Saccharomyces cerevisiae S288C: one gene and its partner. The protein of the gene in region 2 binds, or shares a complex with, the protein of the main gene of each other region. Each region holds a gene or a part of one and is shown on either strand. Other genes may lie near its edges. The genes, in order: KGD1 and KGD4.

Region 1 (5,457 bases), on a different chromosome or scaffold from region 2:
CAAATTGGATGGCCAATTGTGCCATTGGTTCTAGTCTTCTTGCACATGCATAAACCAAATAGCCATTTCTGGCTAATTCCTTCGTTACCTCATATCCAATACCACCTGAGGCGCCTGTAACAACGGCAATCTTTTTAGGTTGTGACTGTAACTCCGACATACTCTTTGAAATCCTGATCAATATTTGAATTGAGTATATATTAATAGAAGTTGGGCATGATGAATAAAACTTATTCACTCTATTTACCTACCCCCTTCCCCCTTTCCATTGACTTATTTTTCACTTTTTTTCTCCACCGGATGAGGACAAGAGAAGCACCTAGCTGTGAATACACCAGAGGAGGAAGTAGGGGGAAAAAAACGATATCAATATAAAGTAAAGAATGATTCTTGAATAAATAGTAAATACAACTAATAAAAAAAGGTTCACATAAATAAAACGTTAAATTAAATAATTTTAAAAAGACTAAGCAGATGCTAACATCATGAACAAAAAAAAAATGTGAATGTATCAAAAAAAATATTTGTTAGATCATTCTTCAAGTAAAAAGGCTGTCCATAAACATTAAGGTAAAAATATTACGTGTTTATATGGCTGTATTTTCATGTTTTTCATATTTGAATTCATCTTTAGGATTGTTGGAAAACATCTTTCAAAAAGGCATCTTCTTCGGCCAAATGTAGTGATTTGCTACCGGCAGCAACAGCACCACTTGGGTTTCTACCACAGTATCTGACCTTGAAATCCTTATATTTATCCGTTTCTTTTAATGTTGTGTGTAAGCGTGGTTCTGTGTATGCCCACGAACCCATGTTCAATGGCTCTTCCTGGCACCAAACAATTTCTTCCAAGTTTGGATAAGAATTTAATGAATCACGTAGCTGAGCAAATGGGAATGGGTGCAGCTGTTCAATCTTTAAGAAAGCAGTGGTCTTATCACCCAAACTTTCACGTCTTTTATGTAGGGCAGTGTACACTTGGCCACTCAGCAAAACTAATCTCTTGGTTTCCTCTTTCGTACCAATACTTTTTCCATGTTCAATATCTTCGATAATCCATTGGAATCCGCCTTCAGTGAATTCGGAAAGAGATGATCTGGCCAATGGGTGACGCAGCAGCTGTTTAGAAAAGAATAACGCCAATGGTTTACGGAATTGACGATGTTGCTGTCTCCTTAGAATGTGGAATAAATTAGCAGGCGTAGTTGGATAAACAACCTGGAAATTACAATCCTGATGTTGTCTCTGTAGCTTTTCTTCAGATGGGAAATATCTTGGGTCTTCATTGGCTAGTTGCAAGAATCTTTCCAATCTACCAGACGAATGTTCTGGCCCCTGGCCATCATAACCATGGGGTAAAGACAAAACTAAACCAGAGCGTTGCTTCCATTTTTGTTCACCACCGGCAATAAATTGGTCAATAATAACCTGTGCTGTATTTGCAAAGTCACCGAATTGAGCCTCCCACATGACTAGATAATCTGGGGAGGTTAGCGAATAACCATATTCGAAACCCATTACACCGTACTCAGATAACGAGGAATTTGCAATGGTGAAGTCTGCCTTTTCATTATTCAGAGTGCTTAGCGGTGTGTAAATGGCTTCAGATTGTTGGTCATGCAAGACTGCATGACGTTGAGAAAATGTACCTCTTTCTACATCTTCACCGGAAACCCTAACGTTCTGACCATCCAAAACCAATGTACCGAACGCTAATGCTTCACCGGTGGCCCAATCGATGCCTTCACCTGTCTCAATAGATTTTCCTCTATTTTTCAAAATTCTCTTTAGATTTTTGTGCACTTCAAAACCTTCTGGCCACGAAGAGAGTACCTTACCTAGTTCTTTCAAAGTACTCTCTGGAACATTAGTTGGTTCATGTGGTAATATCTCAGTGGCCAATTCCTTTGGGGATTTGAATCCTTCCCAGGCAGCAGTTAACCATTCTCTTTGAGATGGGACGTAATCCTTTGCCTTTTCGAAAGCATCTTCAAATAAGTTCCATACCCATTTCTTGTGCTCATCAATATCTTTTTTAGAAAATGTGCCTTCACTTATCAATTTTTCCGTATAGACGTCAATGACAGATTTTTGTTTTGCAATTTTTTTGTACATTAATGGTTGAGTAAACGATGGCTGATCGGTTTCATTATGTCCATGTTTTCTCCAACCAACGACATCAATTATGGCATCTGTGTGGAACTTATGTCTCCATTCTGCGGCTAAATTGAAAATAAAGGTCACAGCTTCCACGTCATTAGCGTTAACATGGAAAATTGGGGCATCAATGGCCTTAGCCAAATCGGAAGGATATGGTGTGGACCTTGCAAATCTTGGATCCGTAGTGAATCCGATCTGGTTGTTTGTAATAACATGAATAGTACCACCAGTAGAGTATTCTGGTAGGGTCAAGAAACCCATGGTTTCATAAACAACACCCTGCCCAGCAAAAGCAGCATCACCATGTAATAACACACCTAAGGCCTTTGTTTTTTCCTTCAAATCGTTCTTGGCATGCAATAAAGCTCTAGTTCTACCAAGAACAACTGGATCTTGGGATTCTAAATGAGAAGGATTTGCCACCAGCGATAAATTGACGTACTTACCAGACGTAGTTGGTCTTTGGTAGTTCATACCCAAATGGTACTTGACATCACCCGATCCTTCAATATCATCGCGAGCGCTCGAACCCTTAAATTCAGAAAAAATAGATTCATTTGGTTTACGGACCACATTGGATAAAACGTTCAATCTACCACGGTGAGCCATACCCAAAACAATATCTTCTACACCCAATTCAACAGAACGATCAACCAAAGTTTTAATACCTGGAACAACACTTTCCAAACCTTCTAAACCGAACCTCTTATCATTTGGAAATTTTGTAGATAAGAATGACTCAAAAGAAGTGGCCCATGTTAATCTATCTAAGATTTGTCTCTTTTGGTCCACTGTATATTGGTAAGGTTCAGGAATCTCAATTCTCTCTCTTAACCAATCACACTTTTGCTTAGATGGAATATGTGTGTATTGTACCCCATAAGAGGAACAATATAACTTTTCTAGATGATCCACAATCTCTTTCAGAGACATTTTAGATTTCCCGTCCCTTGCAAACCTTGGCAGGATACCAGGTCCTAGGTTGATTTCTTTATCAAGATCGTGTTTGCTAAAGCCGTAGTAGTCTAGAGTCAATTCCGGAGGAACAGGGTTATTTTTATTACTACCAAATGAGATCCCTAAAGGATCTATATGGGCTTTTAAATGACCTCTAACTTGGTAAGCTCTACATAGCAATTGCACTTTTAGATGAATGGAGACGTTCTCATCTACTGAACCAGTCATTGCGGTCCCTAAGGGAGCTGCTTCGGTACCCTGGGGAAAGTTACTGATACTGGGAGGAGCCTGAAAAGCCTTTGTAGCTGGAATCTTTGGGTTAGACATATTCTTGAAATATGCGTCCCATGAAACATGGACTGAAGATGGGTCTTTTTGCCAAGCTTGGTACATTTCATCGATATAGGTGGCATTTGATGTCGATAGAAAATTATCTGTACCAGTGGTGGCTAACCCTCTTCCGACAATTTTGACAGTAGATGCATTTTTAAGTAAAGATGTTTTTAATAGTCCTCTTGAACTATACCGGCAGGTTTGCGAAGACACGAACCTTAGCATAACGGTAAAATTTAGTATTTTCTAAAAACTGCTTTCTTTCTCTTTTGTTGTTTCTTTCAAACGAAACTTTAATTTGGGGAAATTAGGAAGAAGTATGATGCTGAACGAGAATCGCTTCCTTCTCTCTTCCTATCTATATTCAGCTGCTGCGACTATGTGACAGAAACAAAATTGAGGGCGAAAAACAAACAAGATATGATCTTATTAAATAACACACGGGTTTGTTAAAGTATAAATAGTACACACCCAATGAATCTAAACCGTTATCGTAAATCGGACTTACATGTAGGTCTTGACTCCCGCAGTCCCTTTGCCAATCATTTATGTGTAATGCCTCTTTCTTATTTGCAGAGGCCCCTTCCTTAGCCCCGGAATCGCAAACGGTCGAAGCTAACTGGTCCATCGCCGCCGGGTAATTATTTTGCGGCACTAATAAGCCCAGAGAATAAGCCAAAGGATATTAGTTACTCAAAGAATTATATTCGCTCTGTCGATCTTATTGTTACAGTGGTATATATTTTATAAACATATGTAGAGGTAGAAAAAAAGGCTAGAAAGAGTATTAGAGGGGAAAGGGATATAGTCGTAAAAAAAAAAAACATGTGGTGATGAAAACGTTACGAAGAGTGTTCCTTGAACCATTCATCAGTAAACTCATTTAACTTGTCAGCATCAACGTAAACCCAGGATCCCTCTTCATTATAGAATCTAGCATTTTCAAACATCGTTTGTAAGGCTTGCCTTACCTCCTCCAAAGTTTTGTAAGTGCCATTCTTGCAGTTTTTCAATATAATATCAATGGCCATGGGTTTTTCAATTACTTTAAAATAGTCCGGATAGTCGCGTTTCGAAGGAAGCTTTTCAAAAATGGACGTCCTTGGATGGGAGTCTACCTCATCTAACTGTTCGCGCATTTCTTCCACCAATTTTTCCACCGTGGGAAAAATCCCAAGCGACTTGGATTTAGTTTTAGTTTTTTTGGCTGCAGTCTTCTTCGCGGGCGATTTACTCTCTGGCTTTTCTTCTGCTCGCTTACCATCATTATTCTCCAACACAGTTGTTTTGTTTAGTTTGATCTTGACGGTCAGTTTCGGTTTCTTTTTCTTGGATTCTGAACCATTTATAATTTCAACGGAGCTACTTTTTACTTCCTCTTCCACCTTAGCGCCCCCGTTTTCTTGAGATGTACTCTCTTCTTGAGTATTCTCTTTGTCTTCTGCCGTAACAATGCTAATGGTCCTTTTCTTTCTACTACTCCGGCGTTTTGACCTGGAAGCTGTAGTCTCTTTATCAGCATTAGTTTCCTCATCCACAGCTGCAGTGAAGCTATTGTTCTCAATCAATGAAGTTTCGGATGCTTCAGGCGTGTTTTCCAGGGTTTCTATTTCATTCTCTTTTGTACCATTTTGACGTAATCTCCTTCTTTCACGTGCTTCACGTCTTTTTTTAATGGCATCTTCTAAAGACATATTATCATCTTCTACAGCCTCCAAAAATTGTTCTTCAGTTAGACCGTCATCATAGTAAACTCTTTTCTTTTGTCTAATCCTTCCCAATGGTTCAGAATCCTCTTTCTTGAAATGTTCTTCAATGTCTTCTCTGAATACTTTGGGTAGCTCGTCTAATTGAATCAATCTAGGAGGAGGGACTCTCAGGCCTTGCGCTTTAGCATCTGCTCTTTCTTGGTTCATTCTCTCCTTATCAATTTTATCAAATAGTATTTTTTCATCAGCGCTTCTGGCCAAAGTATCGTTTAACTCATCGTCATCTAATTCTGCTTTG
Region 2 (2,786 bases):
CATTGCAGCAGATAATTTAGGTTCATATGGCTCTCTTCTAAGATTCAATGGCGTGGAGAGGCTTATTCCCGTGGGTGATAACACCGTTGTGGGCATTTCAGGTGATATTTCTGATATGCAACACATTGAGAGATTATTGAAAGATCTAGTCACTGAAAATGCGTATGACAATCCTCTAGCGGATGCTGAAGAAGCGCTCGAACCCAGCTATATTTTTGAATATCTAGCTACCGTCATGTACCAGCGAAGATCAAAGATGAATCCACTTTGGAATGCCATCATTGTTGCTGGTGTACAGTCTAATGGTGATCAATTCCTAAGATACGTAAATCTTCTAGGTGTTACGTATTCGTCTCCCACCTTGGCCACAGGTTTTGGGGCACACATGGCAAACCCACTGTTAAGGAAAGTTGTAGATCGAGAATCTGATATTCCAAAGACCACTGTACAGGTTGCTGAAGAGGCGATCGTAAATGCAATGAGAGTTCTTTATTATAGAGATGCCCGTTCTTCTAGAAACTTCTCACTGGCCATAATTGATAAGAACACAGGTTTAACTTTCAAGAAAAACTTGCAAGTTGAAAACATGAAATGGGACTTCGCCAAGGATATTAAAGGCTACGGTACTCAAAAAATTTAGAAGAGTTTTATCCCACCTTCATTAAATACTCATTTTATTTTTATTTTTCAATTCATAATATCATCACTCTTCTCTCTTCCTAAGTAACTACGTTTTTACATAGATATAATGATATGTGTAAAGAAACTATAAAATAACAAAAAAAAATCATAATATTACTGCATCTATCCTTCACCATGCACCACCGCTATTTATGCTCTCCAATTCATGCTCGTTAATAGGTTTGTACCGAAACCTAGCAGGTAGCTCGAAAATGGAAGCAAGCTCATCTTTTTGCAATGGCCTGTTAACGAATACAGAGGTCTTTGACGAGCTGAGACCAGCATTAGCGCTATGCTTTATTGGCACTACACGGAATGGTTTATAATTTTCCATGAATTTACTCACTGGAATACACTCTTTGCTGCCAGGTAACATTCCGTTGGTAGCGCAAGGATGAACAACGACCTCAGTTGCATGCTTCACTAAGGGATGCCTTGTACCGACGAATTTTATCATCGGCTCATATGCACTCTTTGCTAATCTTATAGGTGTAGCAATCATTTCCCTGTCTTCTTGTACTTTTATCTTACTCTTATTATCGGTTAAAAACCTGGGGAAGTACTCCTTAATGGTTTGCTTTAAAGAATTCAATGCGGCTAGAAATGAAAAAGACTTTTAAGATCACTGAAACACTGCAATCTGGCTAAAATATTAGTCTTCACTATCGTCTTTTTCTCCTTTGTTGATGCGAAAGATGAATTTACATATTCGAGTCCCTTAGTCATATTATTGTACTTTTAATGCAATCTTGAGGGGAGCCAATCAACGAGTGGTTTTACTTGCACGTGACCAAGAATGGTAATAACGGTGAAATATATGACTAAAAACCTTGATAACTAAATATATCATTAATTTATTTTTAATGCCGTCTAGAAGGGTGTATGAATATCTATGTAGAAGTATGACGATGAATAATTACATAACGAACGAAAATCTCTGTTAATGAAAATATAACTCCAAATAAAATGACAAGAATAAACCACCATGTAACACGAGCCATGTTTCTTTCAGCAACAGAGTCAACGCATATATCAAAGAATTCCAAGAAAACTTTGCAACGATCATTTAATACTTGTACTCTTTGGTCAATTTCTAAATACTCCCTCATTGCCACGTACAGTGGATGCAAACTTGGTTCGAACGACCAAAAAAACTCGGGTGTATCCAATATGGTGGATGAAAGGTTAACATCCACTCTCAATTTAAAGAGCTTCCCTGATTTTTTCAAAAGCTGTTCCCTTTTTAACCCAAGGGTACCATATAATGCTAGTCTTTTAGGTAGTTTTGTGACTGATATTAAAATCGGCGAAATTCTGGATTCAAACCTTGATAATTTCGAAGATTGCGCAATCGCATGTGATAGTGTCAGCTCGATAATGTGGTCACCTGAACGTAATGTGACAATATCATTGAAAATTCTCGGTCTCTCGGTATCTCTGTCATATTCGAAATGGAATTGTTCAGTTTCAATATCTTGTTCATCCAGCGGCCGGATCATTAAATTCTTATAATCTGCAAATGTTATATCACCAAGAATATTTTTCTCTTGAATTTCAGTAAAGTTCCAAAAAACAATAACGCCATAGTGAAAAATGAAAATTTCTGCATGTCTATCATTGCCTTCATGGTCGTTGTCCCTATGCATTTTATATACACGATCAAAATCATTCTGTGATGAAGATGGTGGCGATGGCGTAGATATTGATGATGGCGAAGCTGGTGAACGAGAGGACTGTACATACTGATCGTTTCCCTCAACAGCATAAAGTTTACTCTTATCATTATTTTTATTATTATTATCGTTGCCACAACTTGCATCACTGTCGTTTTCCTCCTTCTTCAGCATGTTTATTCTTTCTGTCCTTTCCCGTTTCTCTATCTCTAAGGGAGTTTCTTCCGCAAAAAATTGTGGTTCCATAGGATTAAAAGAGTCTTGCTGACCAACTGGATTTGGTAGATGATCGGGAACTGTTGTGGTGTCTTGATTAGCGTTATTGTTATTTCCACTGGTTTCTAGTTCGTAATTATTATTTGCATCTTCCACAGTTTCCACACCTGAGTAATATTCATAATGATGATCTCTCTGTTCGCTTGTATCAATTAA

The links.
Region 1: KGD4 (region 2) and KGD1 share a complex: the UniProt entries of both Saccharomyces cerevisiae proteins name them as parts of the 2-oxoglutarate dehydrogenase complex.

What each region holds. Positions count from the first base shown.
Region 1 is NC_001141.2:120,907-126,363, reverse strand, and holds KGD1 (alpha-ketoglutarate dehydrogenase KGD1), read right to left. Parts: upstream 3,676-5,457; coding exon 631-3,675; downstream 1-630. Other genes in the region: AYR1 (acylglycerone-phosphate reductase), read right to left, coding at 1-160; RSC chromatin remodeling complex ATPase subunit STH1, read right to left, coding at 4,293-5,457. UniProt on the Saccharomyces cerevisiae protein: The 2-oxoglutarate dehydrogenase complex catalyzes the overall conversion of 2-oxoglutarate to succinyl-CoA and CO(2).
Region 2 is NC_001138.5:246,920-249,705, reverse strand, and holds KGD4 (alpha-ketoglutarate dehydrogenase subunit KGD4), read right to left. Parts: upstream 1,184-2,786; coding exon 812-1,183; downstream 1-811. Other genes in the region: PRE4 (proteasome core particle subunit beta 7), read left to right, coding at 1-640; RMD8 (Rmd8p), read right to left, coding at 1,572-2,786. UniProt on the Saccharomyces cerevisiae protein: Molecular adapter that is necessary to a form a stable 2-oxoglutarate dehydrogenase enzyme complex (OGDC).